Drosophila melanogaster: one gene and its partners. The protein of the gene in region 4 interacts with the protein of the main gene of each other region in a pairwise test. Each region holds a gene or a part of one and is shown on either strand. Other genes may lie near its edges.

What was found.
Region 1: the proteins of Grx5 (region 4) and sage interact in a two-hybrid assay, tested with the Drosophila melanogaster proteins (one large-scale study listed by BioGRID).
Region 2: the proteins of Grx5 (region 4) and CG9133 interact in a two-hybrid assay, tested with the Drosophila melanogaster proteins (one large-scale study listed by BioGRID).
Region 3: the proteins of Grx5 (region 4) and CG33191 interact in a two-hybrid assay, tested with the Drosophila melanogaster proteins (one large-scale study listed by BioGRID).

The regions. Positions count from the first base shown.
Region 1 is NT_033777.3:9,258,552-9,265,794, reverse strand, and holds sage (salivary gland-expressed bHLH), read left to right. Parts: upstream 1-1,652; 5' UTR 1,653-2,052; coding exon 2,053-2,720; intron 2,721-2,781; coding exon 2,782-2,920; 3' UTR 2,921-3,141; downstream 3,142-7,243. Other genes in the region: TrpRS (Tryptophanyl-tRNA synthetase), read left to right, coding at 1-315, 387-491; ATP6AP2 (ATPase H+ transporting accessory protein 2), read right to left, coding at 3,623-4,189, 4,452-4,804, 5,028-5,070; Ibf1 (insulator binding factor 1), read right to left, coding at 5,545-5,784, 5,839-6,027, 6,092-6,163, 6,454-6,541, 6,608-6,747.
Region 2 is NT_037436.4:1,248,124-1,258,026, reverse strand, and holds CG9133 (uncharacterized protein), read right to left. Parts: upstream 6,016-9,903; 5' UTR 5,861-6,015; coding exon of another isoform or gene 4,795-5,860; intron 4,724-4,794; coding exon of another isoform or gene 4,304-4,723; intron 4,175-4,303; exon of another isoform or gene 4,034-4,174; intron 3,952-4,033; coding exon of another isoform or gene 3,884-3,951; 5' UTR 3,803-3,883; coding exon 3,703-3,802; exon of another isoform or gene 3,661-3,702; coding exon of another isoform or gene 3,630-3,660; coding exon 2,983-3,629; intron 2,540-2,982; coding exon 2,288-2,539; 3' UTR 2,041-2,287; downstream 1-2,040. Other genes in the region: tfc (triforce), read right to left, coding at 667-865; CG9130 (uncharacterized protein), read right to left, coding at 3,884-3,951, 4,304-4,723, 4,795-5,860; Bfc (booster for Crq), read right to left, coding at 6,395-7,150; Sac1 phosphatase, read right to left, coding at 7,958-9,736.
Region 3 is NT_033777.3:8,775,442-8,782,874, forward strand, and holds CG33191 (uncharacterized protein), read right to left. Parts: upstream 4,483-7,433; 5' UTR 4,396-4,482; coding exon 2,965-4,395; 3' UTR 2,938-2,964; downstream 1-2,937. Other genes in the region: Pif1B (PFTAIRE-interacting factor 1B), read right to left, coding at 1-2,486; Pif1A (PFTAIRE-interacting factor 1A), read right to left, coding at 2,486-2,500, 6,845-6,943, 7,001-7,433; CG33189 (uncharacterized protein), read right to left, coding at 4,758-5,291.
Region 4 is NC_004354.4:14,834,798-14,841,581, reverse strand, and holds Grx5 (glutaredoxin 5), read left to right. Parts: upstream 1-3,383; 5' UTR 3,384-3,479; coding exon 3,480-3,768; intron 3,769-3,828; coding exon 3,829-4,019; 3' UTR 4,020-4,111; downstream 4,112-6,784. Other genes in the region: Flo2 (flotillin 2), read right to left, coding at 563-611; CG32590 (uncharacterized protein), read left to right, coding at 2,547-2,764, 2,821-3,154; CG14410 (uncharacterized protein), read right to left, coding at 4,252-4,857; CG14411 (uncharacterized protein), read right to left, coding at 5,797-6,784.

The DNA of each region.
Region 1 (7,243 bases), on a different chromosome or scaffold from region 4:
TGCGCGCTCATCCATTCGACCTTCTTCCCGGCGCTGCAGGGTGCCAAGACGAAGATGTCGGCTAGCGACCAGAACTCGGCTGTTTATCTGACGGACACGCCCAAGCAGATTAAGAACAAGATCAACAAGTACGCCTTCTCCGGAGGACGCGTATCTGTGGAGGAGCACCGCAAGCTGGGCGGAGTTCCGGAAGTTGATGTCTCCTATCAGCTGTTGAAGTTCTTCCTGGAGGACGATGCCAAGTTGGAGGAGGTGAGAGTGGCTTACAGCAAAGGCGAAATGCTTACGGGCGAGATCAAGAAGCTGGCAGTTGAGGTAAGTGCAATGATGATGCTACAATCTTCCCAAAAAACATTGTAATTAATGTGCTCAAATGATCTTCTTAGACGCTCACACCCATTGTGGAACAGCATCAGGCCGCCCGCAAGCTGATTACGGACGAAGTGCTGGACAAGTACTTCGAACTACGACCCCTGAAGTTCGGAAGTTAGAACGGTAGCCGAATTGAGGTACCTGCATTTGCTTGACATCGATTCTTACTACCAGTTTATATGAAATTAGCTTAAATCGAACTAAGCGATATTAGTTTAGCACCGAACCGACTAAGGCACTTCTATGTAAATAGCTATACAGAATTGATCTATGCCTTGGCTCTGAGTCCGTGTGGCGCCCACTTAATGCATCGTTGTACTCGCTATTTATTTTATTTTTTACACAGCGTGTTTATTTTTATAAAGCAGAAAACAATAAACTTCGGCTTCGATTTGCAATTGCCACCACAGTGACCCACATTTGGGAAGTTGTTAGCAAGTCTATACATTTTCCTGGAAACCCGAAACGTTCAGCCAAGGAGAGAAACAAGTCAACTCTCTAGGTTTCCCTAGAAACTACACTCTGCTCATATTCATTTCCGATTCCGGGCAAAGGTGCCTCTCTGGTTAGCCAGCTAGCAAAATAACTCTCGACTTCGGAAAAATGTAAGTAATTTTCTCACTTCTAGTTGTGTGTTGTTTTTTTTTTCTGGTAACCCGAGATCTTGCACATGAATTGAATTTCGCGGGCTATCAGTAGATATTCTTCTAGTTTTTTCCTTGCGGTTTATAGTTTCAGGAATTCTGAATTTTCGGAAGAAAAAAATAATTTGCTAGTTAATTACTATTAATTAAAGAAGATATGTAGTAATAATGGAAACTGTGCTCAATATCTCAGTCTTTTAAGCAAGTATCTATTTCAATTAAGAAAAATCATAAAAATAGGTATAGAATATGTAATATAATTTTTAATAGGATTATAAGAGCACTTAGCTGGCGATCACGGTTTTTCATTGACTAGAGAGAAACCAAATTAGTTTGAAATTAGAATTGGGCGAAGTTTGGAGCTAGATTGGCCAAGCTTAGGTTTCTTACCTTCATATAGACGAACCTATATTCATAACTAGCTATATGCATATGTGTGTATTTTTTAATTAAGTCAAAACACTTGTGTTTACATGCGTCGAAAATACACTCTTTCATATGGGCTGAGTTCCAGTGTGGGTGTTTGTACATAGCGACGATCAAAAAGAAAAACTCAAACTGAAGTTGTGGCGACGATCGTCGATCGCTGATCCCAGAGAGGGATCCGACATAAGTCGGACGCAACTCCAGCCTGCCACACGCGCCTCGATCACCATTCGCAGCCGTCGGAGTCGGATCGATCGGACAATAGCGAGGAAATTAAGCCGCTTTGTTTGCACAGCGATTGGATGGGACAAAAGGACCCTCGACGACAAGTTGGTCCCCTATAGATCACCTGTTGACACACGTACAAAGCGGTGGCCTCTTAAACTAGACGAGATGTGGCCCTCATCAACCCCGGATGAGTAGTCACGTCTCGAATCGATGGATCGATGGTGAGCCATTCATCACGATCGCCAGAGTCGTCTCTAATGCAACTAAAAGTAAGCAAAACAAAAAGGTACAAGCTAAAAAAAAAAAAACCAACCGAGTCCAGGTAAACCTGCTGCAGTCCGGCCAGAACTCTTGATCGGTCATTCGAAAAGCGGCTTAAGCGATGACGGATCAACTGCTGAGCTCCACGGCCGGCGTACCGGGTGATCCACCGCCAGTTTTGGTGCCCGTATCAGCCACCACCGGTGGACCCTATTTGAGCGGTGGATCCGAGGGCGAGGCGGAATCATCGGAACAGCCCGTTCTTCTAGAGCTCGGTGCCCCTCAATCGTCCAGTTGTCCGGCAGTTAGTCTCAACTACACCCTAACCGCGGATGGAGCAGGCTTGCTGGCATATGCGCCAACTCATCCGCATAGCTACTCACCCAGCGTGATGGGTGGCTACGAGAAGGAAGCGCACAATATGGGTCTGTTGCCACCCACATATAGCGTTATACCTCAGCCGGTGTCGATGTGGCATGCTGGCCAGGTGGCCACCGGTTCGCCAGTGGGCTTGGAATGCAACAAACCCAGTGAGCTGGTACCTCCGCCCATGTATATGAGCTATAGCGGCGGTAGTATAGCCAATAGCACTGAGGTGGACATCGCCAAAGAGCACAATCCCGCCTGGCGGGAGAAGGCGCTGCAAATGGAGAAGGACTATAGACGCACCGCCTGCGATCGGGAAAGAACCAGGATGCGGGACATGAACCGAGCCTTTGACTTACTGCGCTCCAAGCTACCCATATCCAAGCCAAATGGGAAAAAGTACTCCAAAATCGAGAGTTTGAGGTAAGTGAAAGTATCTGCGGTAGAGCTCTGTAATATATTTATATGATCTTTGCCTACCCAGGATTGCCATCAACTACATTAATCACCTGCAGGCCATGCTGCGGGAGAGCTCCGTGGGTCAAAATGGCAATGGATGCTGTGCCTGGAGCGGCGGAAGTAGTTCACCTTATGATAATGGCAACGATCATTGGGGAGCGTAACTTGAATTAACGAATATCAAAGGGAATTCATTTAAATATTCAATTTAAAACTTGTGTTATATTATATCCGCAATTTGCCAAAGTCATTCCATGAACCTATAAAAGTTAAGGTCCATACTTTACGATTTTGAGAAGAAAAAAATTGAAATAGCTTTCATTTTATATTAGTTTATCATGTTAACCTTTTTATAAGTGCAATAATTAAATAAATTATCAAGAATACCACGTATGATTTCAATTATCATTTGCCCCAAAAACTAGATAACAAAACCAGGCGCAACTTTGTCTTTTTAGGCTATATATATTTAACTTTACTTTTCAACACTTCACATTTTGATAATTTACATATGATGAATCGTTTGAAGAACTGACTGACTTGGCGAGTATGTTGTGCATATTCGTATATATATATAAACCTAAAAAGTACAACAAAACAGGAAAATGTAACAAATTTCTATGGAATTGTTGCGACGCCCGCAACTGCATTGAAAACTGAAAAGTTTTTTAATACTTATTTATAGATAATAAAACCAACTACTGCGACAGCTGTCCGCACACACACAAACACACAATTTATCCGCTGTTGGATTGAAGTAGAAGTTGGCAAATTTCAACTTAAAAGGGGGACGAAATAACAAAGCGTAACGCAAGCTCCTCTCGCTCCTCCTGCTCCTCTCGCTTCTCAACTCCTCCTGCTCCTCCTTAGTTGTCCTTCTTGATGCGGGTAGAGGTCATGCGGTAAATGATGGAGTCCCTGCCGGGATCCATGGCAGCGATGGCGTAGCAGATAGCCAGCAGAGACAGTCCGAAGACGACCATGAACCACAGGATGATGTTGAAGATCACCGGGTAGTCGCTGCCGTAGTAGACGGCCAGGTTGTAGGGATTGGTGGTGGAAGCGGCAATGGTATCACGCTTGGCACGCGATGCTGCCACGTCCTTCTCCGTGGTCTGGACAAACAGAACCGAGTCGCTGGACTTCTGGGAGGCAGCAAGCAGGCGGCTGATAGCGGCCGACAGCAATTTGTTGGCCTCCTCCACGGCCACGGACTTCTCGCCATGAGCCTTGGCCACTCCATCGACGGAAACGCGCAGCATCAGGACATTCGAGGGCTTGGCCATCTCAGCCAGATGATCGGCGGCACTGTTGATGAATCCAACCTCCTGGAGGAACTGCTTGTCAGCGGTGTGCAGAGAGGGGTTCAGGTGCTTGGTGGGCTTGGCGGCTGGGGCCTCGAAATCACCAAAGCAGGACTTCCAGGCTTGAACCTATAAAAAATATGTGGTTAAATATACATTGGTCTCTACGTTATATGCGTAAGGGGGAAGGCACTATGATTCACTCTATAAATCATGTGATTAATTAATTTTTAAGGTTTAATAACTATCTATCATATTTGTGGGAAGTTATAGCGGATTGTAGAGAAGCTTCTTTAAACGAACTTTCAGATGAAGATCATGCTTTCTGCGGTTTGACAAATTAGCTAACTGACTAACGAAATGTGCTTTTCCCCTTTAAGACACCACTTACGCCATCGTCGAACTGCTCAAAGTTAATATCGCAGACGGGCTCGTTGGCTGCCTCCAGTTCGGCGGCCAGGGCGTTCAGAGAGGCGTCCGTTCCGGAGCCTGTCAGCTCGTAGGTCTTGACGTTGCCGGCGGTGGTCACGTGACCAATGCCCTGGACATGCACCAGAATGACGCCCTTGGCCAGGTTGAAGGGATCGTTGATGGTCAGTCCGTTCCAGTTGGTATCGCCGCTGACGGCGTTGCCCATGGAAGCGTAGAGTACATCACCCACGTAGTGGCTTTCCAGTGCATCGTTGCCCTTGAAACTGATTGCCTTGGGACGGTTCAGCACGGTGAATTCGCCAGAGGCATTGACTGCAAAATAGGAAGACGTAGCTCATAAGTTCTGTAGAATCTAACATATTCGTCTCCTTTGTCCAAGATTCTGCGCATGCATGTGGGGAGCCCTTTGGAGTCCCGAGTTCTGGGTGTCACCACCCCCAAAGAGGAATCGATGAGTACAGAATATCCACTTTGTGACCGCTTTCCACTTGCTGCGCATGCATTTTACTTGATTATAGATGGTAGATCTACTTACTGGCCGCTATAAACAGCGAGAAAATCACGAAAACTCTCAACATTTTCAGTTTTCCGCTGGACTTTTAATCATATGACGAACGACTGCAAAGAAAACCTTTTCTCTTCCCCGATATCACCCTGACTATCATGTGATGAACAGGGTTGCTTGGGGTCAGTTATCGAATGGGTATCAGTAGGGTTGTCGAAGAGTGCGAACTATCGATTGTACTAGTATTTCTAGTTTTATTTATTATGTATTTTTATTTATTCAATAATTTTGATGTATGTAATATTTATGTATGTAAGCATTAGATTACATCGATTTTAATAACACTTGTAAGCATTGCATTATTACATTATTATTTAATAAAAAGATTCGAGTAATCAGGCTTAAAATAATGTATTTTGTAATCACCTTTACAAAGTTAAATGTAATAAATCTATGTTGAATTCAAGACAGACATTTTCGTCATCTTAACAAAAATTAAGGGTTCACCATGCGGACATTTAAAAGTTATCTATAGTTAAAATACATTTTAATCGCGTAGGGCGTCGATTTCCAATCGAAGCTTCTGAATCTTAAGCAAAGTCAGTGTGCGCTCTACTTTTAGATTGTCCGTTTCCGTTTTAAGAAACTTGGTCTTACTCTGGAACTGACTGATCTCGGCTCGCGCCTTTTCCGCTCGCAATGCAGCTAAACCATTTCTTGGCCTGGCCTCGATGATCGTCGCCGATCCATTGGCTAAGTCATCCGGGTTTTGCTGCAATATGTAATGCTGTTCGATAATCGTTAAAATGTCTAAGATACTTATCAAATTGTGAATATTTACTTCTTTGCTTTCGTCCAGGTACTCAGAGTATTCGGGATTTTTAATTTCAACGTTGGAAATTTCAAATTCCAAATTTTGCTCGCCAGACTCTTCCGTTTTGGTCAGTTTCCTTTTGCGAATTTCTCGTTTCACTCTGGGTTGCTCCTTGGGCGCCTCAGCCTCGTCAGCATCGTCCAGAATTTGTTGTATCTGGAATGAAAAATAACCATAATGTAAGTATTTGATTTAGTTTACGCATTTTTCACCTACTCACCTTAACAATGATCTCCTTGCCTTCGTTGGCATTATCCAGGCCGCCATCATCGTCGCCCGAAATCTTCTGGATCTGCATAAAAAATATATTTTAGAGCATTAGCGATATATAAGTAACATTTAATTTACATATGAATGTTCATATGAGACGATATGGGTTAGTAATTTCAAAAGTCAAATCATTAAGCACTATATATTGTATTCGGACAAAGTTCGAACCGAATATTTGTCAAATTACTTGGGGTTGACATTATAGTGTGCAAAGTATCTTTGGGATTTATTTTGAAGTGCATTTGTCCACTGACGTCCTACACCAGACATATACATACATCCAATGTATCCAAATTGGAAGCATCGAATTACCTTTATCCTAGGAGCCTCGTCATGATCCTTCTCGTCGGCAGAAGTGTACACTACAGCGCTTCTACTTCGCCGGGCATCGCAGGTTTGCCTACAATTTAATGAGAATTACTTGACGCATGTAAACACAATGTTTGGTGTATGTTTGTATGGTTACCTGTGTAACGATAGCCGGGATAGCGCCGTATTTTGGAGTACTTTTTCGCAGAAGTGACAGGTGGCCGAGTATTTGCCATTCTCCAAATTGGCGGTAAATCCGTGGGTTCTGTAAAAATCCTCGGACTTCTTTCGGGGCATTTTAAAATACAACAATCGCAGTAAATTCCAATGTACTATACACGATGCAAATAAAAATGGCTTCACTACAGATGCATGTAAAATCCACGCTTGCATACGATAGACATGTATCGACATATCGATAAAACCATTTTGATATTGATCAGTTCGATGCGTTTCTTTTAGTCAAAACGATATTTAATAAAGATCAGAAATAATTTTATATGTATATAACGGGTGAAGTAGTAAACTTTTAAAAGGATTTGCTTCTTAATTTTACTTATATGTATTTGTAATATATGAACGCCCTTCAATATAGTCTATTTTTTAAAGGTTCCACGCATATATTTTCAGATACATTCATGGTACTATTTACTGCCCGATTAATTAATCGTTAAATATACAAAGCTAAATATTAAACTTATTCTTTTCAAAAATTTGTTATTTATGACCCAGACAAAGTCATTTTTTACAATTCAGTCATTTCACAGATGATTCAAAAGTAAAAATATAATTA
Region 2 (9,903 bases), on a different chromosome or scaffold from region 4:
ATTTAAAATTAGTAGATAGATTAAGCCGGTGCAAAAGTTGGACTCCGGAGTGAATCTATTTGATTGGGATTCGCTGCTCAGCAGTCATATGCTTATGAATTCTAAAATATTTAAATGCCAAATGGTGCAGGGGAAACACAATTAGCATTTTAATAACAGCCAGTACGTTTTTGGCCGAAATCTGCTTTTTTTTTGTTGTACTACATATGTGAAAATCGCACGATGAGCTAGCGAATTTTAAGTATTATGCAGAAAAAGTAGCGATAAATGTGTGGAGATATTTTATGCAAATCCGATTCTCTTTCATTATGAATTCTATTATGATCTGTACTATTAATAACAAATAACTCGATTTGAAAGATTTTCAAAATAAACCTTGGCGAATGCATTTTTGCATAGAACTTCATATGTTACTTATGTTTTTAATCGCGTGATTGACGGGGCATTCCTTAAGCGCAGAACCCTTGAAATGCCCACCAACATCGACCACATTAGGAAAAGGCTCGATTCAAAGCAGTGCGGCCAAGAGCAATCGTTAGTATTTGCGAACCAATCGAGAGGGCCCCTCGAAGATGTCCATCACAGAGACCGAGAGGCTCCGACCCTGACACGGATGGCCACAATGGGGGCACTTGGAAAAGTGGCTCAAAGGGGCCAAGTACTTACCTCTCTTATCACGGCCATTTCCGCCTCCACTCCGGCTAATGTTGCTGCTGCTGCTGATGTGATTGTTTTGGCCGAGTTGGAAGCCGTGGGGCACCTGGCTGATGGGCTCGGCCACCGGGATGGTGGTCACGGGTGAGTTGTGGCCGGAATCGACACTGGCCAGTGAGATGAGCACTACGATAAGTGTGGGGCGGATCATGATCACCGATTTGCACTCTTCACGCGAATCTTAGACACCAGTAAAAGTTGCAACTGCACTTGGCGGAGACCTCTCGGATGCACGTAACCGAAAACCGGGGAAAGCCAGTCGGCTGTGGTATGCTATAACCTGCGATCTCGAGCTGGAACTGAAAGCCAACTGACCGTCGGAGGTTGGACTTTCGGGTGTCTCTAGATCGGGGGCCTATTTGGTATGCAGCTTCGCTTTCTAAATTATCAAAGTTTTGGGGAAATGTTGTGGTATCTCTCGGATTTAGTTTTTAATATTCAAATACTATGCTTTTCTCCGCCCAACTGTCAACGCTGGATGGGGCGGGTTGAGTCTCTAAACGAGGGCCATTAATTTGCGCCCTCGAATTCGGACTGGGAGCCCGGTGTTCGTCCGATGCCTGGTCGTGGAGGCGAACGCGGATTAAGTAATCGCCCAAATCTACTCCACTCAATTCACTTTCTTTCCGCTTTCGCGGCGAGAGGCAGAAATTGAATTGGATCGAGCGAACTGGAGCGGATGGTCTCTCCTCACTGGTTTTGTGGTCTGTCGTGGACCGATCTCAGAAGTTGCTCACATTCGGGGCCGATCCGCTGAATGGTTAACATCTAGGCTGGGGCACTGCTTCACGATTTCTCGACTCTTTCCTGCGTTCGCACTCGCCGTGTTAACTTACAGACTAAAGCGTTTGAACGCGACTAAAACGAGTTCCTCGCTCGACTCCTCTCCGAGCCACCGATCGGATCGGTCAGCTGGCCCGATCTGCGATCTCTGGTCTCTCGGATCTCTCCCTCTCCGTATAGTATAGTCACTGCAAAGTGACCAAACCGCTAAGCTGCCGCTGCATCCAACGGCGGCTTTTCCTCCTCCTCGATGCTCCCTCCCGCGAAGATTTCTGGCTTTTAATTACAGGTGTGCAATAGATGAAGATGGTCGGATCGGATCGGATCGGCATCAGAGTTCTGCATCGCGAATTGGTTTTGTCGGCTATTTTTAGACCCGCCTCAATTGCAGATGAAACACCTCCGCGGCCTTGACTGGGCAGTTAAGTGCCCTTAATGAAGATGGGCATATACACTTGCAAGCAGATTACTGCGGGTTAGGGTATCTACATCAGATCAATCAGTGAGGGATCAGATCAACTAATCATAAATGGGACTAGAATTATTGTTTTTTTTTTTCTTAATTTTAATTCAATCAAAAGCATACATTTACGTAACTAGTCGAAAAAGTGAGTGTTCGTGCATCTTACTGGACGGGTTAATATGAATGGGTTAGTACCAGAGCCAAATTTCAATAATTGCTGCTGTGAATTTTCAAAGAGTCGCTTCCAAAATGCCAAAGGATGTGTTCCGAAAGGGTAAGCGTCAAGTCCGGTCGATGGGAATGGGATCCGCCTACGGATCTCTTGGTCTACTTCTTCTTCTTGCCCTTGCCCTTCTTGCCCTTGCCCTTCTTGCCCTTCTTCCCCTTCTTGCCACCGGTTAGCATCTCCTCGGAAACATAGGTCTCCGTGGTCACCTTGCTGATCGGAAGGGTTACGGGCTGCTTGGGCGTCCGCAGCTCGATCTCGATGGTATTCTTCTTGTGCTGCGACTTGGCCTTACTTCCCAGTTTTACTAGGAACACGTCGCTGTCGGTCTCCTCGCAGGTCTTGTAGCAAACCTGAAAAATAAGAAAAGCGACAAATCTTTTTAGATACTATGCAACAGCTAACCAAAATAGTCTCAATGCAACGCGTTGCATCTTTCGCAGAAATTACCATAAATAAAAAAGCTGTAGCGGATTGCCACCGCAAACTGAAAAGAGTGCTCCACACTTGGAGCTGGCAGATGTTACGCAACTGCCCCACAATTGAGGCAATCGAAAGCCTTCCCGAAGTGGCAGAAGTGGCATAGTTGCACCACCTGCAACAACGTTTAGGGGGGCAAAGTCACGGACTACCAATCGATCCACATTCCGCATCCGCACACGTAACTGGCGAACTTAAAAAATGGAATGCGGAGGCGATCGGCGATTGTGGTTAATGATTTAAGATCGAACATTCTTGAAATATGGATTTCCTTAGGCCACTCAGTGCTGCGCAAATGAATATAGGATGGACTCACCTCGATACCCTTGCGCCTTGTGTCCAAATTGACACCCTTCATGGTGTCCATGATGTCCTTCCGCTCGACCTGCATGCAACATGATCGCTGGTTCTGGACGGGACAGTGCGCGGGCACGATGGGATCGGATCCGCCGCAGAGTCGCTGGCGGTAGCAGTCGACCTTGGCCTCCTGGAAGTCGCAGGCCTCCTTGATCTTCGAGAAGGGCACGTAGTAGTTGTCGGTCTCGCAGGCATCGTTCCCAGAGTACTTGATATTGGCTCGCACCTTGGGGATGTTCGGGTGGTTGATGATGCGGCCGCCGGTCCGGCGCTTGATGTGGTTGCGAGCGAAGGAGCTGCGCTGGAGCATATCGTGCAGGCAGGACTCCTTTGCGGGCTCGCAGTCATTGGGGTCATCGCGATAGCAGGGATCATCGCCTGCGCCCAGATTGGGCGCAGTCTCGCTGCCATCCATCACGCTCTCCACCTTGTGGGTGTTCTTGAGTACGCGTATGGTCAGACCGCTGCCATTGAGGCAGGCCTCGAACTCGTCGTACGCCTCCGGACCCGGATCCGGCTTGGTCGGCTGGATGAAGCAGGGAGCCAACTCCGGACTGCAGTCGCAATCGCAGGCGCACTGACAGCAGCCATCACAGTCGTCCACATCTGAGGATACCAATTGGAAGGGATGAATCATCCTTAAGCCCGAGCTTCGGTGCAGGGATCCGCGTGTACTTACTCTCGTTCATGGGCTTGAGCATCTCATTGGTGATCTTGAACTTGCAGTCGACCTTTGGCTTCTTGCCCTTCTTGCCCTTTCTTCCCCTCTTCTTGGCCATGTTGTGCGGTTGAGTGATTGAGTGTGTAAGTCAATACAATTATTCACTAGGCTCAAGCTGAAATCTCAATTCCGAAAGCCTTCAATTCTCAATTTGGATATTGTACTTCACCAGTAAGTGGCGCAATTTCCGCACAGCTCGTTTTCGCGCTGAAATGAAAATTGAATTTGGGTTAGTGGATCGCTTCGAAAATTTTTTAACTTGATAGGAAAAAAAATAGTTCGGACGTACTGATTCTCTGTTTTAATTTCCATCCAAAACTCGGGTAACAACAACGAAAGATTTTATTTTTCTGTATTTTGTGCGGCAGACAACATTTCCCGTTCGAATGTATAAAACAAATGCTAAACGAGTGATCTTCTACACCCCGACTACTAGATGTTACTAAATGTTTCGCTGGAGTTACGAGACGTTTGTGTTGTTGTTCATTTCGAAGCCTACTTGGCATTCTCGAAATCCCAGTTGAAATCGTTTTCTAAATACATACATATATGAGCTCACCTTCATCACAGGCCATTTCGTACTCCTCCTCCCGTCCGTTGCACCTGACAGTGGGCTCCTTGTACCGAATTTTCTTGGTCGCCTGGAGGACTCCTGCGCAGACAGGATCGCAGTCTTCGTAGACGGCGGACGGACTATTCTCGTCTCCTACGCGGCAAACAGCACCTCCAGCCTGACGCTTCTTCTTGCCCTTGTCGTCCTTGCCACCCTTTCCATCCTTTGCGTCCTTTCCATCCTTGCCACCCTTTTTGCCATCCTTGTCCTTCTTGGGATCCTTTTCCGGTTTGTTCAAGAGCTCGGCCTGCATCTTCTCCTGGATGAAGCGTGGGTACGGTGGAATTCCGCCGCAGGGACCGCATTTCTGCAGCTTTTGTTCGATCGGCGAGAGATTGCAACGCTTTGTGGGAACAGTGGGGCATTCTGGGAAGAAGTATATACATTACATCATTAAAAGGAAGCATTTATATATGCTGATGATAGATTATAGTCACCTCTATCGAACTCGTCCTCGCAGTAGTCACAGGGACAGAGCTTGTCCAGATTGCACGAGTAGTACCTGAGGCACTTTGCCGGAGGCTCAACTCGCTTGGCACAAGGATCCACCATTGTACAGCGACGACAAGGAGGCTGGGCACACGAGCCCTTGCAGCCCTTCTTATCCATGGGCCCGCCGGTGGCAGTTCCGCCGCCACAGCAGGGACTGCAGGGATCGCACGGATCGCAGGGGTCGCAGGGTGGAGGACATGGTGGGCCACAGCTAGGAGGCGGTGGGCACGAGCCGCAGCTGGGAGGTGGTGGGCAGGGGCCGCAGGGACCACAGGGGCCACAAGGACCGCAGCAGGGCTCCGGGCACTTGGGATTGCGGGAGCAGACCTTGCTGAAGGGGAACGTGGACACAATGGTCGGACCATTGCACACCAATCTAAGGATCAGCACTATGTTGCCAGTCTGCATCTTGCAGAGATTGAAGAGGGGCAGCAGTCGCTTGGACAACTCCGATGTGGGACACCACTGCTCGTGACGTTCGTTCAGCTTCTCGTAGCAGGCACAGTTGTCCAGGAGGCCCTTGCTGGTGGGACCCTTCATCTTGGGCAGCTGGGCGATGTGCCCCAGCATGGCGTCTTCCCAGTCAGGATTCTCGATGTCAAAGGACTCCTTCACCCTGTCGAAGATGGGCTTCACCTTTAGCTCCGACAGTCCTATCAGGAACTTGCAGCTCTCCGTGCGCTTCTTATAGACATGCACCTGCAGCACATCCTTGTCCGTAATGGGGGAGTCCAGAGTGAAGAGGGCGCACTTGCCGCACTTGGGCGAACAGGGGTTAACACACGTGCCCACCTCCCGATCGCAGAGATTCACGTAAACCGACGAGCGGAACGTGATCTCTGTGCAGGTTGGATACTCCTCCGGAGCGCAAAGATTCTGGCGTGTGATCAGCAGATCGTCCACTACGAACTCGAACATGTAGAGGAAGTTTCCTGCAATCTTGGGAGGTTTCTCTGGCTTCTCAGACTTATCGGATTTCTCAGTTTTCTCAGTTTTATCAGACTTGTCCATTTTCAAAGGAAATAATTTTGGCTAGGCTTTTGTTTTGTCGAAACTAGAAATTTATATGCCCGAACACTCGCACTTCCAAAAATTTTGTGAGTAAATTTGAATTTAGATTCTGATTTTGAATGGCCGTCCAGACGGGGAGACTGTGGTGTTCGAACTGCTAAACCGACTGGATTTGCGAGGGCTACTGGAATCGGATGAATTTTGAAAACTTGATTCCTTGATTTTCGATATTAAGATTGTCTTTTAGGCAGATGAGTCTGTCTGTATGTAGATTTTATTACGCCTAAAATGCCTAGTAAGGTCTTATTTCTAACATATATATAAATTTTAATATTAAATTATATTATAATGGACAATAGCCTCCTCAAGTCACTGAAACACCAGAATTGGTATAAAAATTATTCAAATACTTTATTTATAGTTAAGATATGCGAATGATTATCAGTTGCTAGGCGCATCCCTTGTCAAACAATAAAAATGCTTATGGCAACTAAATGAGTACGGAATATAAAGGCTCGCAGCTGCATTTCCTACTCATGTCTTCTTGGCTGGCACGGTCTTGCAAGGATCGCAGGGATCGAATGGCGACGAACAGGGAGCAGGCCAAGTGGGCGGGCAAGGACAGCAACAGTTGCAGGGATCCTTGCACACTGGTCTCTGGACGGGGAAGGAGGATACCACAGAGGGCCCATTGCACACCAGTCTCAGGATCAGCACTATATTGCCCGTCTGCATTTTGCAGAGGTTGAAGAGCGGCAGCATCCGCTTGGTCAGCTCTGAGGTGGGACACCACTGTTCGCGCCGCTCCCTATTCCTCTCGTAGCACACACAGTCATTGGCCTTCTTGCAGGGGCCCCTCAGCTTGGGCATTCGCGACAAATGGGACTCGACGTTACTCTCCCAGTTTATGTTCTGTGAATAGAACTCCTTCTTCACCCTATCGAAGATCGGCTTCATCGGCAGCTCGGTCAGCCCGAGCAGGAACTTGCAGCTCTCCGTGCGCTTCTTGTAAACGTGAATGTGCATCACGTCCTCGTCCGTGATCGGCGATTCCAGCGTGAAGAGGGTGCACTTGCCGCACTTGGGCGAACAGGGGTTGACACAGCTTCCGTTCTCCCGATCGCGGATGTTCAGGAAAACCGAACGGAACGTGATCTCCGTGCAAGTGGGATACTCCTCCGGAGCGCAGAGGTTGGGACGAGTGATCAGCAGATCGTCCACCATGAACTCCAACATATACAGGAAGTTATCAGCAAGATTAGAGCGTTTCTCCGACTTGTCCATTCTCATATAAAAGCTTAAAAACTAGAAATTTGACAAAATTACTATACCAAAGAATTTGTTATGTGTTGAAAACGTTTTTAGAAATTTTCAGTCACTGAAACCTAATTTTGACGAAAAATAAATATGTTGAATTTTGAATTCAGATTTTGACGACGTGCCGAAAAGGAAAGACTGATTTTCGAAATGGATCTATGCGACTGAATGTAAAAGGCCTGCCTACGATTCAAAATATATAAATAAAAAGCTAAGAGCTCTGCATTCCTACTAAAATATCAACAATGACATTCTTTATATGATTAACACCCTCTGGGTAACCTGTACTCTTAACCTTTACTGGCCATCTTTTATGGTTGTCATAAACGCCATATACCCATATCATTAATTACATTTCACCTCCACAAGTAGATAGAAAGACGCCGGTCTGAGGTTTTCTAGCAATGCGTAAAATACTTTATTTAATGTCATTAAATGGTTCTACAAAAGTGATTGATCTACATTGCAGTTAATCGCAGTTAATAAGCGGCGCCTTCACAACTCCACTTCTTCCCGATCGAAACCCCAATCATTCCCCTTTTCCAGCCGCCTGAAGCTCGCCTAAGTGTAAGTGATCTGTGTATATAATGACTAACAAGTTGCAGAAGGGAATGGACTGGGGGGGGCTTTAAGACTAAACAAAAACAGAATAAAACAAAACAGAAATTGAGAGGAAGTCGAATCGATTACAGAATTGGTTTACAATTGTTCTTTCTCGGAGCAATGGGACAGTTTAGCTGCAGAGGTAGTTCCCAGTGACTCTGCTAGACGACACTAACGTCATGGGTCTCGAAAGGAGATGGGCGGAAAAAGCCGCGGCCACTGCACGAACTCGACGCCGTAGTGCAGGATGCCCGTGGCACTGACAGCGATCATTGCGCCCCAGAAGAGCATGAACAGCAGGTTCTCCGTGTTAAACTCGGCCGGATAGGTCATCGTGATCATGAACATGGCCACAGCCACAAGCAGCACCGAGGGGAAGGTGAAGAACCGCCAGCCATGCTTCGACTCCAGCGGCGATGGCACGGCACCGCCCTCGTTGTCGTTGACCAGATACTTTCCAAGGAAAAGATCGATGCTGTCTTGCCGCTGGCCATCGGCGAAGTTGTTCAGATAGTAGCGCATCAGCGAGTTCTTGCCGTCCTGCATGGCACCAGACTTGGTCCTCTTGCCCGTCCTGGTGAAGTCGGTCTTGAGCGCACACGTTCCGGAATATTGTAGCGACACCAGATCCGCGTTGTCCGCCCACACGCCCTTGAAAATGCTCTCGAAAATGTCGGAGGCATGTTCCACTTTCTGGCCCACATGAAGCACTCCCAGCTTCTGGAGCACCGCAGTGAGGGACCTGCGGGCCAGCATGCTCTGCACGACGTTCGTCCTATCGAGACAGTCGATACAATTCGTTCGGAAGACACCAGTCTGCGTGGACACCAATTTGCCGTCGTCGAAGACATGATAGACACCGAACTGATCCTGCTCATGGGCGAGGCGATCGATGAGTATGTTCAGCCGGTCCCAGCGCATCTTACGGCACTCGCTGTGGAAGTCGAAAGACTCGTATCGCACTTGTGGATTTCCCATTTCTCGAACCAGGCGGGCATAGGTCGCCTCGAGCTCGCCTTCGGCACCTTTGTGATCCACTAGATTCACAGCCACATTGTTGCCATACAGCCGGATCTGTTCCTTAAAGTGGAGCCCGCAGGCGGCCAAATGATCCTTGCCCGGCACCAGAACGGGTCGTGGCTTATAGCGCAAATTGGGCAGCTGGTGCCAGTGGAAGGGCATGCTGCCTCGTGTCTGCACGAATCCAGTCAGCTGCCCGTTGAACTCCACTATTTGCTCGGTCTCTACGAAGTTCGCAACATGGCCCTGCTCGTCGCTGCCTCGGCAGAAGAGCCGTGTGCCCGCCCGCTGCACGGAACGCCTGGTGATGATGCTCCAGAAGAATGTCTGCCCGTTGATCTGCACCTGGTTGATAGACACGAAGCCCAGGACGAGTGGCAGCTGGAACTTCTCCATCTTATCGCAGTTGAACTGCCGCAGCACATAGCCATTCCAAACGAATCGCTGCTCAGCGCGCTGGAGCAACCCGGATACTTCAGGCCGCGATTGTGCCACCTCCCGCTGTCGCTGCAGCGAATTGGTAAGGTCGTAGCGGTAGGAGAAGTAAAAGAACTTGGTGTCAAGTGTCTGGCGTAGCAGTCGCAAGTAGTTTTCGTTCTCCTTGCGCTGGAAGGAATTCGGAATGTAAGGTATGATGTCATAGCCCGCTAATCTCCACACAACTGCGCCATTGAGCACGCCCACGAAGAGGCGGTGGGTCGCCACCAGAAGGTAGTCGCAGCTCAGTAGGTGAATGGTTCCCAGCACACCACAAATCCTCCTGGTGGGGCGAAGGTTGGCCACAAGACCTCCGCTCGCTGGCTGAACCCTGGTGACTTTGTCGTGGCGCCCGATGACCAGCAACTCATCTCCTCCATTCGGCTCGATGATGAAGCTCTGCGGTGCGATGTACAGGTTCATGTCATCGTACACGGCGTTCTCCTCCCTGCTGTCCATGATTTCCGGGGGCGGTGGCTGGCCCACTTCGAAGACTAAGGGTTAAAAATGGGATAAGGGTTAATAGCTATAGCCAGTGCTGCTTCCTCTTTCTCTGCTCACTTCCTGTAATCGGGGATTCACTGTCGCTATCACCGCTGTCACACACGCACAGCACCAAAATCAGC
Region 3 (7,433 bases), on a different chromosome or scaffold from region 4:
TCATCGCATTCCTCGCACTTTTCCAACGGGCAATCTTCCGGGCATTCCTCACAATTCAGCGCGCACTCTTCGCATACATCGTCCTCGCAGGAGTACACATCGTCACCACCACACAGACCACAATCCTTAAGAGCTTTTCGCAAAAGCTGCTCGCAGAGGTTCCTCATATCGGGTGACAGAGGTCCTTCGGGCAATAGCCCAGTACGTGGACCCCGGGGCGCCGGGCTAGGTGACTCCTTTTGCGCACAGGGATCTAAGTTGTAGGGGAAGGCTGCCCAGTCTGTTTGCTGTGTGGTCCAAGGAGGACAGGACACCATGCCAGCAAATGGACACTCAATCTGTTCTGGTTTCTCCTCTTCTTCCGGTGACGCCACGGTTGTGGGTCTCTCACAGATTTCCCTTAGTACTGTGCTAGGAGTTTTTTCTTCTACCTCCTCGCCTTCCTTATTGGCCTCCTCCGCAAGAATTTCTTGCAGTTCCTTGTCGATGAATGCTTTAAGAGATTGGCAGAGATCCGGCTCCGTGGTTGCTTTACCATCATCCTTACTTTCGAACTTTTTTACTTCCTCGTCATCCTCACAATCACGAAAGAAGTCATCATCCAAGCCATCACCCGAACAGGTTAGTGCATTTCCAATGTCAAAGAATTGTTCCGGGCACTGACAAGGTTGCATGTTGTCATTTTCCTTGGGAGATTTTGGCTCAGGTTCTGGTGGAAAGTCCGGATCTAGTTCAAAAGCATAGATATCGGTCTCAGGAATCTGAGGTTCTGCCGGCGGCAGGAAGCACTTGCAGAGGTATTCCTCCAGTTGATGAAAGCACTCGACTCGTTGGAGCTCTCTCTTTGACGGGGGTTTTTCGACTGGATCGCCTTCCCCATTGCCAGCATGTTGGGCCGTACAGCACTCATCGAAGGTTAGGCACGGTGGGCTAGCTTCATCCGCTGGTGCAACTGCATCATCTTTTTCTGATCTCAGGAGTAGTGTTAGTTCCCGGAAAAGTTGTTGGGTCAGGCAGGGGCGAGATATACCGCAATCGCAACCAGGACTGGTCAGTTTCTCCATCAGCATCAGGATGCGTTCCTTACGAGAACAGCAGGCCATAGCCCTATTTCCACAAAGATCCTCTGGTGTCTGATAGCCGGTACCCGCTTGGGCACTTTGCATCCCCTGAAGCTCGTCATTCGAAGAGCACTGGCACTGCTTGCTGACACACGTAGCCTTTTCGGGTTCCTTCGGAGGATCTGCATCGTCGTTGCACAGGCAACTACCCCCGGAAAGACTCCTGTGCGTATGAAGACTGGTCTGGATGGGATCGGACAGTTCGGAGAAGTTATCAGAAGCATCACAGTCACAAAATTCCTCCTGACCCTTAACGCTCACTTTCCTAGAACGGAAAGAGGTACTGGGGTCGCCTTGAGAGTTCTGACAATCGGTGAACTGGGCAAACCCGGATGGATGGTGTATTCTTGTGGAGGGGCATGGCGCAATCTGGATCTCATTTGGGCATTCCCGATCGGCCAGGCTCGACACAAAGGCCTTGGTGGGTTGATGCTCCGATGCGCATAGGCAGGTGACCTGACCCACAATCGATTGGGATCGTGTGGTTGCTGAGGTCTCATCGCCTGGCCCAAAGGAGGGTTGATTGCGCGGGTTTGGCGCCCTGAAATTACTTGATTTGGATGTCATACTGCGATAATTGGGATGGCTCTGAGGAAGTGAACTCATAGAAGGATCCTGATTAGTCTGGGTAGCGTTGCAGGTACATGCAGGACGTTCGTCCTCTTTGGAAGAGCAACATGTACTCTCCGGATCCTTTAAAGCCGACAACCAAGTGACGCCACTCTGAGTTGGCGGATTAGATTTACTAGGCAGACTGGCCAAACTCTTGGATCGACCAAAGCTGCCTTTTGATGCTCCGGGTCTATGCAAGGGAGCGAGAGTGCTTGAGGAGGGGTCCATTGCTCTACTGTAGGATGGTCCGGTTACCAAGTTGCTTTGACCAGCCCAGTATGGTGGGTGGGCGCCACAAGTGCAGGGATCGAGGAGCTCCTTGGTACACGCTGTTATAGCACTCTTGAATGAGGAAGCCTTCTCTGGTTCCGTAACCGATGTTTTCTGGGAGCAGGGCTTCCTCGAACTGGATTTCTCCTGATGACCCAGTCCACATGGACTTGGATCGGTGTTGCATGCACAGGTGTGAGCTTTAACCGCTGGTGGATCGGCGGACTTGGACCTCTTTGCGGTGCATGAGCAGGACGCCCCATCATCTGGATTAGCCTTCGATTCCGGGTTCTTAGGCGTGTGGTGTTTCTGCAGAAAGGAGACCGCCGTCTGCGATGGCTTGTCATGAGGGTCTACACGATCAGATTGTTGCGACTGTTGGGATTTTGACGGCTTCCAGTGGTCTCTCATGTGGGATGCCTCGGTTTGTTGATGGCGGGAGTTGGGGTCGCTGTCGGAATGTCGCTCATGCTGCATGTACATCAGAGCCGGGCATTCTGTGGATGAAATGTTTGGGATAAAATAAATATCTAACAAGGATTTTATACATCAATTCAGGTAAAATAAGAATCTGTTAATAGCCGGCCTTCTGTAACCCTTCAAAAATTCTTGGCTACTTCAGGTTTCTTGCAAACATCTTGACTTGCACGATATTCCGAAACATTGAGCCTTAGCCGCTTACATAAGGTAAACGACATAAGTATGCCTTAAAAAATCAAATCCGTAAACAGGATTTAAAATGTGGGAAATTTCAATAAAGAGAAGTGATTACAATTGACATATAATAGAAGAAAACTGATCAGCAGGAAAGTTAGCACGCTTACGATATTGTGGCGGCTAAGGCTCGAAAATTCGAGCACTCTTAACCGATACCGAACCGATTCCTAAAACCGTTTCAACTCGATTCCCCGGCTAGAACACACATAATTCGATTCGATTTGATTCGGTGAGCAAACACATTTTATTCGATTGGATGGCTCGTGGGTACGAGCAGTTCCTTGATCTCATTGAGTTGGATCTCGCGACCCCGCGTGATTTCCGGACGGGACCACATTTCAGCGTGGTACAATTCTAAGAACTTGGCCTCCGCCTTTTCGCGGCACGGACAAAAATCGAAGTAGGAGGTCTGGCTGCAGACCTCCCGATCCTCGAACTTAGTGAAGATGGTGCCGCGCTGTACGCATCGGCAAACCTTGACATTGGTGTGCTGCTGGTTTGGGGCAAAGGAGCGTTGCTTCCACGGACACATGCAGCAGCCACAGTTGCCGGGACAAAACACATTGCCTTCCTCGTCCATAATAGGACTGGGATCGAAACGGCACGGCGAACAGTTGGAGAACTCCTTGTTTTGAGGCAGGGCAAGGTAGTACCGCTTGCTTCCCGGCGATCTTTCCGGCGGCGGCGGTCCCATTTCTTCTTCCGGCTGCGGTCCTAACATCTCCTGCTCGCTAGACAAGAGCTCATCGGATTCATCCGACTCGGTGATCGGGTGTTCCGGCTCTGGAGCATAGATTATCAAGTGCTCCTTCGGGGCCGTTGGTTCTATCTCCACCAACGGTTCTTCAATTGGCAGTGGCTCAGGCACTGGGGTAAGAGTGAGCTCTGATTCGATATCCGGCAAGGTCAGGCAGGAGATTGAGATGACCTCCCGTGCCCCCGGGTCGTGCCAGCGGCAACATGTGGCCGGAGTGCAACGGTTACACTGAGATGTTGAATCCCCACAGCTTCCTATGTATACCGAACTGGCGGACCCTTCGGCTAGCTGTTGCGATGCACATGGACGAAAGTGTTTGCTGGCGGATTTACCTGAGCTGGGCTTTGGAGCCCTTGGACCGGAACGCATATACTGCTGCGAGCGGCACTGGCAGATGGACTCTTTGCGATGCCTGGTGACCGGTTGTTTCTTTTGCTGACACTTGACCATCTTGCCGCTCTGCGGATTGAACTCCAGCGGCATCTGGACGGTGACGGGCTTTCCGTGCAACGGACAACCAGCGCGACCCTTCTTGGGGTCCACCAACCGAGCGGTCAACTCCAGGGTGACGGCACATGGCTGATTCCAACCACCTGACTTGTCAAAATTCTTGAGTAGCATCTGTGTGGCATTGGCCGCCCGTTCCAGGGCATCCCGTATCGCAGCCGGATCATCGAACTTGCACCGGCTGGTGGCACTACGGCCCTCCTTTGGCGAGTCCTCACCCGGACCTTGACAGTCGTAAAATAAGTCCTGTTCGCTGCGCGTCTGCTGGAAGTTTTCGCCTACGAAAAGCAGTCGGGTGGAGTCCAATCCGCGACTCAATGTCATGGAGCTCTGGTTAACGAAATGACTCCGGGAGTAGTCACTCCGAGCGATGCTTGGATCGATGGGCTGATTAGAGAATTCCTCGTCCATCACGCTTAAAGAGCTTGAACTGTTTTCCCCAAATCAAGCTCTGAACTCACATTAAATTTTAAAGTGTGTGTTGCCTGCTCGATTGTGTCTAAAATACTGATACCAAATGGAGCACAATAGTGACAGTATTGAAAACGTGACCTCACTGGCCTGCTAGTAACTCCTATGAATTTTCGATTTTCCTACGCTGTTCTATGTGTGGTGTAGCCAAAGCAAAGCGAAAATTTATAAAGATACCCAACATACCCAGCAATTACCAGTGAAAAAAATGCATTTCCCAAACATAATCCAATTTAGTCACCAATGAATTTTGAGAAAAAACAACTAAGTGAGCAAGACGTGGCTCTTGATAAGTTTAAAATTTACGTGTTTTGATTAGGTTCCTGGCAATCGGGACACACTTCATCCTTGTTGGACCACTTTACACTCGATCTTCTGCTCTTCGACTTGTTCTGATTTCCAGGTGCATTGCATCCACAAAATGTGCCAATTGACTTGGGCTGGAAGATGTTGACTTTGACCTGGCCGCTTTCCGGATTCAGTTCGATTGGCAGCCTCAGGGTCACTGGGTCGCCGATTAACTTGCACTGCCTGTCCTTGGGGCAAGGACACTTGTCGTCCGTATGTAGACGGGCACTGACCTCCAGGGTGGCCGGATAGAAAAGTGTCATCAAAGGACGAGTTGGCACGGAATCAGTGCCTCCGTAGCACCTTAGCAACCGCTGGGTGGCAGTGGCTGCCCGCTCCAAAACGGCCCGAATCTGGACAGGATCGTCAAATCGAGGCGCTTGCTTGCAGATCACTTCATCACCACCGCCCACTTCCAGATCTGGAGTCTCCTCGTCGTCACTGCGGCAGTCATAAAAGATGTCTAAGTCCTCAAACTCGCCAATCATAATGCTCAACGTTTAAACAATTTGGATTAATCTGATGCCGTTACGAATCTGCCGATAAAACAGTCTACTCTATACAAAGACAATAATCTCAGAGAACTATTGATGTTGAATTATAATGTTCCTGGTTAGCTTCCTATAATTAGATCTAATCTGAAGATCTTATACACGGCAACCTTCAAGGAGACCGAAATAAGGGTCAGTCACTTGGTAATTTACATTTATGTTTGGTGTATTTACATAGAAATAAAGCTCTATTTCTTAGCTCTGAACAAGGTGGAATTGCTCCTCTCCACGGGAATGTAGACAGTGCAGCAGAACTCCGATTCCGCCTTGTGGTTATGGAAGAGCAGAAGTCTTGTGTGGATTCGCTGCTCGATTTGTTGCAAAAGCGCCGAAGATGCAGGCTTAAGGGCCAACTTTAGGTTATGGACACAGTCCAGAGCAGCCACAAATCCTTCATAGCTCTCCTGCGTCTTCTGAGTACTCTTTTCAATCCACATGTCTTGCAAAAATTCAAGATGCTCACGGAAATCCTCTCCGCCCTCCCATAAGTGAAGAAGACGGGTCCGGAATGCGGCAACATCGAGGTATCCGTCCACGGCGCCCTGAATCAAATCCACGAAGCACCTGGTTCTCAGAGGCATCAGGAGCAGTCGTTGCTCCACACCCACATCGACCTGTGTTCCACACTCAATCGTCTCTGGTTGAACTTGCATCTCCTTTTCATTGCACTGTGTCGTGACCTGAACCTCCTCCTCCAGGGTTTTCACCTCGTCCGTTTGTACAAATGACACGCTGGCCAGAGATTCCCAATTAAGATTAACAACTTCAGCGTGAAGGGAGTGCAGGGAAATTCCGGATCTGGCCGAGTGAACCGAGTGAACTGACAACAGAGAGTGGAAACTACTGCAGGAGAGGCTCTTTTGAAGAGGGAAACCCAGAGTTCGATTGAGCGTACGTGGACGGTAAATGTGACGGAAGAGGAAACGCTGTATTTTTCGCTGGTGACTGTTTGGTCTTGGATGCTTCTCCTTCTTATTCTTTGCTCGCTTTTTGCTTTTCTTTTTGAGCTCGGGTTCGTGCTGCTGATCCACAGAACAAACCTCGTTGAACATCTGTCTCATGGAATAGGGCACCGCGGTGATCTTCTTCTCTTGCTCATCTGTTGGTCGAATTATCTGCGGATTCGCCCTGCTGTCTGATTCACCAAGGTGTAGTTCAGATTTTTGGGCAGATCCCCCAGCTAATTCCCGTACTATTGACCGGCATGAGGATGTCACGACACTAACATAACTAGATTTCTTGCTGCTAACGAGATTTCTTTCTTGACTTTCCAGATATTCTGAATCGACTTGACTTTCTAGACTTCCCGGATTTTCTTGAATGACCTGATTATCTTGAGTTTCTTGATTTCCCTGGCATTCTAGACTAGTCACAGTTGATAGTCCTGTCTCAGGTATTTTTTCTGAGGAGGCATCCTGGACCGTAGCCCAACTGGAGCCTTCGGGTTCCGAACCAGCTGGCTTGGCGGGCTCTTTGCTTTGGAGACTCACCTCGGACGGACTCTGTGAGAGAAGGGTATCCGCCAGTTGCTTTACACTGCAGGCAATTGCTTGGAAGTCCTTGTGCAGTGGTAGACCAAAATCACGACCCTGTAATGATAAGGTGCTGTAAGGTTTCAGTAAAATTCTAAATACTACCAGACCTACCTCGAGATCGAGTAGGGCCACGCCCAGTCCCTGGCTGGCAGCCTGGAGGCTCGGTACCTCATCCTTCTTGGCCCGCTTCGCAGGACTATCATGGAGTTCATCGGCCAGGCTGTAGCCCTCGGGCATAACGCCCAGTTTGCGTTCCAAGAGCTGGCATTGTTCGTCCTTGGTTCGCAGCTCGTCCTCCAGGCAGCGCGCCCGCTCCTCCGAATCCCTCATTTGGTTCTCCATCTGGCGGATTTTGTTCTCCAGCGTGCCCACCTCCTCTTTCAGCTCGCCATTTGTGACCTCGATGTGCAGGTAATCCTTTTTGATGTTGAAGATCTGGGTGCGCAAAGCATCCGTCTCCTGCCTCAACTGATCCTCGGTGTTCTGCTGCACCTTCTTGGCAAAGATAAGGTCATCCATCAGTGCCTGGGTTTTGCGCCTCTCG
Region 4 (6,784 bases):
AATTGAAGTACAAAATATATAACACCAACATGCCTGAACTTTATTAGACAGGTAAGGCAACTTTTTGCGAAAAAGAAAATGTCAAAAGTGGCCTAAACAATAATAAATTTTACATATTTCAATTACTAATTCTCTTTATTTATTTGTAAATTATATGGCTTGCAGATTGAGATTTTTGCTATATTGTATTTTAATATGAATATACAGAGACCTGTAGCTTAAAGTGCCCGAGCAAAAGTGCTAGCATACTTTAAGACAGGTTTTTTCTTTCAGTGTTGTCATTATAGCGAACGAAACGAAACGCCATCGCAGATCAAAGCAAAGTCGAACGTCACTCGCAAGCGGGCAAATGCAAATGTGGATGGGAACCCTGACTGAATTCGCAATGTCCTGTCAACATGCGGTTTCCTAATTGCAGCATTTCAAAATCAGTCAACAGGCGTTTGAGCCAACAGTGGTGGCAAAAAAAAGGATTAAGCCCTTGCAGGCTGGCAGTGGGTGGGTTGGTGGGCGTTTGGTTGGTTGGTTGGTTGGTTGGTTGGTGTGAAGGGTTCCGACTCACCTGAAACAATTAACGCCTCATTGGGACCCGTCGTGTGTATGTTGCCCATCGTTGAGTCGTTCCTCGTCGCCGTCTACTTGTTGGTCTCTATTTATGTTTTATTTGTTTGCTGTTTACTCCTTTTGCCGAAAGCTCCGCTGAAAAGTTCTGCCGCAAAAACGAAACAAGAGCGCACACACGAATGTATAATTAGCACACCGGGAAAAAAAACCATCTAAATATTGCTAGCAATTTTATGGAATTTATACCGATTTTTAGTAGTTATTAGTTATTAATTAGTTATTAGTAAAAGCTTTGAAGGTTTGGTATAATATAGGAAACTTTTTATCTTGTAAAAATATTATTATTAAAATATTATTTTATGCATGTTCTTAATATTTTCTCGCTGTGTGTAAATACATTTAAAAAAACAAGATAGAAGCTTTCAATGGGCCGCCCGAAAGTATGGTACTTATTATATTTCCAGATTGCCATCAAAACACACGCGCAATTTTCTTGTTTTTATTTACATTTGGTCTCGATTCTTGTTGTACTTGAATTGCTATTCTTCTTTTTTTTTTGTTTTTGTTTTATATCGTTTTTATTAAAAGCTTTTTTTTATCTGTCTCTAGGGAGCAGCAACAACAATTAGCAATGTGCGGCAACTTGTTCTGCATATAATACCTGCTATATACAATACGTATATATATACGTATATTCTATAGTGTATCTGAACGATCGAATCGGAATGTGGTGCCTGGAATTAGGAACACTTGAGGAGTTTGGCGGGGTGGGGGGAAATGTAGAGCGGCCACTTGAAAATTGTAAACTGTGCTGGTGATTTTTATTAGTTTTATGGCGCTGCTGGGGGACTTTTGTGAGCAGCTCTCTATCAAAGTTCTAATAAAACACAAATAAGTTGCGAATAAAAAGTAGAGCAAGGGGGTGCGGCATGACGTAAGCAGCCATGTGTGCGTGTGTGTATGTGTGTGTGTGTGAGGGGGAGAGAGAGAAGGAGAGAGCGAGTACGTTAGAAGGAGAGCGAGAGATGGGGCGCGTCTTATCAATGAGCTCATCATTCTTGCACTGAGAAAAATCAGAACAAATTCCCAGCAACCACAACAACAACAAAAGAACACGGTGTGTATAAATACCAAACAACAAAAATAACCCGCACACACAGACACGCACACGCATACACACTAGAAAATTAACCCTTAGTGTGTGCGTGCATTCTGATTGGGGTGGCTGATTGGAGTTTCTAAATAAACAAAGTTTGTTATTGCCGCTTTGTTGTTGCTGTACCAATGTTTATTAGCAATTGTTTTTAGCTAGAACTCATGACTTAGACCGCGTTTAGCAAAAACCGGCTTTACACTAGATTATTCGTAAATCATCGAAATGCGAGCCGGGAAAAAAGTTTATCAGCATCCCACAGTTTGTTTTCCGTTTTTGTAGTTGTTGCTCTGCCACTGCAACTTCCAACTAGTTTTTCATTCACTCACTGGCACAGTAAAAAAAAAATTCAAAAAATATTTCGACTTTAATTGATCGCGTCGACGCAGTAAATTAATTCCTGATTTTCAATTAAAACGAATCAATTGACGAAATTTTTACCGTTCTTAAGAACCGAGTCCCTTTACGCTGGAGATGGAAAAACGCCGATTGTTTGCTTGCATCGATGCTGTCGCTTCAAAAAGTAAGATTATCGATTGTTAGCGATGTGTCGAACATCTCGACGATATTTTAACTATTTATAGTTTCAATTCGAATATATTTCAAGAAAATAAAATTAAAACGAATAATTCACTAGGTTTTTAATCAATGTTTTTATTCGCTTTCACACTTAATAATTTAACCAATAGTATTGTGCACCCCTCGTCACGTCCAGTCGATATGTATTGCATAGAATTAGCCAGTCTGGTTATCGATAACTAGTCCAACTGGAGTCTCGGATGTAAACAAAACTGAAATAAAAAACAAAAACAAGAGAGTGAATTTAACAATGTCGCGCGGCAACGAATTGGTATTCAAAGCGAAGAAAACATCAGAGAAGATATCGGAGAACATACACATATTCGCCAACGATCCATCGCTGGCGTTTTTCCGTGTGCAGGAGCACGTTCGCAAGGTTACCCCAGCGATTTTCGAGAAACGCGATGAAGTCTTTCAGCTGCAAAATAATCTCCAGGGACATTGCTATGATATGGAATACGGCATACAGTAGGATCAACTACTAAATAATAAAATAATATATAATTGAATCTATTTAACCGCAGAGCGCTGCGAACGATTGAAAAATCGGAGAGCATATTTGAGAACATCCAGGAAATGATCAAGGCTTCAATATTCCTCAAGCAGCAGCTAAAGTACGAGGAGAGCAGAAAGAAAGTGAAGAAGGATAGCACCAAATCTTCCGTCTACAAGCGATTCTCCGCCCATCTGGCACTGGATCTCCCGGATTTACCCGATTTCGGTGGCGTTATGCGGGAAACTAGCCAGCGAATGGAGAATATGATAGGTCCTGGCACGGCAACAGGACGTACTGAGGCCCAGGCCGCGACATCCAGTAATCCTGGCGAGCTCCAACGATCCTATACGACACTCCACTAGATTAAGTAGGTTCTAGCATTGTACTCATAGCTATGTATGCATTATTATTCTAAAATACATTTATTTTAATTGTAAGACATGTACTTTTATCATAACTGACTACTCCTGCTTTATAGTTTCTATAATATGCATAAAAAAAAGTATTAAAATATTATGAAAATTCTTGAAATGCTTATAATCGAAAACCGTTCGATAGTCGATAGGCCGTTCAGTCGCCACTCGAGCGAGCTATCGATACCTTTTTAGCTGACACTTGAACAGCACTTGTTTTATTAGATAATATTGCTAATATTATTATTACCTCGACCAAGTCGCTGCCGTCAAGATGAACCGAATTTGCCAGAGTCTCCGCCATCCGAGATACCAGATTCTCGCCACCACAGCACCGCAATCCCTGCTCACCCGCTTTCTTGCGGCGGATGCGGCCACCGGCGCGGCAGTGGACAAGGCGACAATGGACAAGCTGGTGCGCACCAACAAGGTGGTCGTCTTCATGAAGGGCAACCCACAGGCGCCACGCTGCGGCTTCAGCAATGCGGTGGTGCAGATTATGCGGATGCACGGTGTCCAGTACGATGCCCACGATGTGCTGCAAAACGAGTCCCTGCGACAGGGTGAGTACGCTCCACATATGCATTAGCGTGCCAGCGTTAAACCTTATTGCTTGCGTGCAGGTGTCAAGGACTACACCGACTGGCCGACCATTCCGCAGGTGTTCATCAATGGCGAATTTGTCGGCGGTTGCGACATCCTGCTGCAGATGCACCAGAGCGGCGATCTCATCGAGGAGCTCAAGAAGGCGGGCATCATTTCGGAGCTGCTGAAAGCGGAGGAGGCTAAGCAGCAGGACGACAAGGCTAAGTGATGATTCAAAAAGAGCGCCCAAAGATCAAATTCCCTTCCTAAATCTGTTAGTCACGCAACGTTTTTATTATTAAATGTTTAACTCATAACGACAATGGTGTGCGTTGTTCCGTGTGATTTAAATGGCAGCCAATGGCATATAATCGCAGGCGCTCATTTATGATTGTGATTAAGATATAGCAGGCTTTGTAAAAGTACCATTATAATGTAAGCAAGCATTCTATAGGATGAATTCAGTTGCGCGTCCTGCGCCTCTCGTCGATTTGCTGCAGGAGGCATAGGATTCGACTGCGTGCCTGCAGAGCATCGTCCACCTGCAAGAGGGAAAAGCACTGTTGTCGATGCTGCGGATTAGTCATATTCACCAGGATCTCCATCAGGTTGTCGGCTATGGAGTGGCGCATCGTTTCCTCCGATGGCATTGGTGGAATCACGCGACTTGGACGAGTTGGAGTCGATTGAGCGGGATTTCTAAGTGGCAACTGATTCCCGACGTACTGCTCTTCATTGGGATACTCATCAGTTTGCTTTTCCAGATCCTTTGGTACCTGATTTTCCATCTCAATATCTTGGTTCTCATTTAGAAGCATTTTCTGATTAATCTTTAAATATTCTGAATTGTCGAGTTTATCTGCAGTCTTTGCATCCTTTTCTGCTTTTAAAATGCGGTTGTTTGCCAGATTCTCAACTTTAACTTCCATTATTTCATGCTTTAAGTCCAAATATTTATCATTTCTTGTTGATAGCTTCTTATTTTGAGATTCATGATTCCGTTCTGTAATTATAATGATTTTCATTGTGTAATCCTTTATGTCCTTGAACGTATTTGTATTACCCATTTCGCTGAGTGTTTAATCTAGTTTCTCGTGCCAATAATAAATTATAATAATAGCATATTTATAAATTCATTATAACTTCTATGTGCTATGATTATAACTGAAAGTCCAAGCGAACTATAAAATGAAATCATAAATAAAAATCGGGAATTAAACAGTTATTTATCGAAGCTTGTAATTATGTTAACCCTTATATGGCTCCTTTTTTTTAAATTATAAAATCTTAAACTTTTTATTGAGTTACATTAAGAACCCAAAATTATTCAGAATAGCAAACACAAATCGTTTCGAAAGCCAAACTGTTAGTCAATTATTTTATCTTTTCAATTATCCAACTATCCACTTCAATTTAAAATCATAAGCTTACATATTAATGCGATTTTTTTTGCTGACTCACCCATATATATTCATAGTTCCTAATTCGTTTAATTCTCAAAAGTTGCCGCAATCAGAACACATTTTGTTGATTTTACACATTTGATTTATTTAAATATACATATCGATCAATAGTCTTTCATATATTTAGTTACATACAATATAATACATATTGATTTAATTGGTGTTTTCGTACGTTTTCGTTTTTGCGGATTTGTGTTTTGAATTCGTTTTACATCAATTGCTTGTCGTTACGTTTGTTAATCGTATTATTTACGTTTAATTTTATAATGCAGCGATGCAATGCAGTTTGGTGGTAGTAAAACGAAATAAAAAAAAACTTATACCATAACTTGCTTATTAGTTAACAATAATCAAAAGTGTTAAAAGCGATATGCCATGTATATGTGAGGAAATTGCACCTCTGTGTGTGTGTGTGTGTGTGTGTTTTTTCTTCTTCTTCTCAAATTATATTCTGTTTTTTGTGTAATACTTCGAAAGTTCAGCGTTTTGAATAAACAAGTGGAACGAGTGTGTGTGTGGTGGTGTCTCCGATTTGTGTGCGGATCAGACAATGGACGACTTGTCCAGAAAGGATGAGGTCTCCATCAGCAGCTCGCTGCTGCTGCTCAGAATGTCGTACAGCTGGAGCGGTGCATCTCCGGCGATGGGATTCCCGAAGGGAAAGAACGACGACAGGGTCGATAGCTGCAGATTGCCGGTAACCGATGTGAGTCCGCTAGTGGGTGTGGCGGCCTTCGCCGTCGGCTTCCTGCGCCGCTCCACACCGTCGACGAACTCGGCCTCGTCCTCCTTGTCGGGCTTCTCGTCCTTGTGCTGATTGGGACGCGATTCGCCGGCGAACTCGTAATACGCATCGGGTAGATCGTCAAAGTTTTGATAATCCAGGCAGCGCTGTACCTTTGCTATGTTGCTCAGCAGCAGGCGATGATAGAGATCCACCTGCGGCTGGCCGCCGCCGCGTATATCCAAAATGGGCAGCCAGCGGTAGTAGCACTGATCCCACACCTGCAGATCGAAGATGCGATGTGCCGGCTGCAGGTAACGATCCTGCGGCACTGACGAAGCGGTCGCAAAGAGCTGCGGATTGATGGTGTTGCGCGAGGGTGTGACACCACTAGCGGCGCCATGCGCTCCCTTACTACCCACCGCCAGGGATCTGCGATGCGCCACGGCAGCCGCCTGGGCGCCAAGATCGCCCCTTTGGCGCTGGTACAGCGGATTGCTAAAGAACATTTTGTCCTTGTCCGAGAACTGCTCGCCCCAATCCCAAACGGGACGCAGGACGAGCTGCGAGTCGGTCACCGCCTTCAGTCGCTGGGCCTGCGTATCGAACTGGAAGGTATCGAAGATGGGCATGAAGCACGAGTCCCACAGCGTGGTCAGGTATGTCTGCGTGAACTCGAACTCGTCGGGGAACTGCTGCAACAGCTGCCACACGCAATCGAGGAAGAGCAGAAACACTGGACTCTGTTCGCTGTCGAATAGTTCGGCATTACCGCCGGCCGGCTGGGCAGGATAGACATGACCCAGG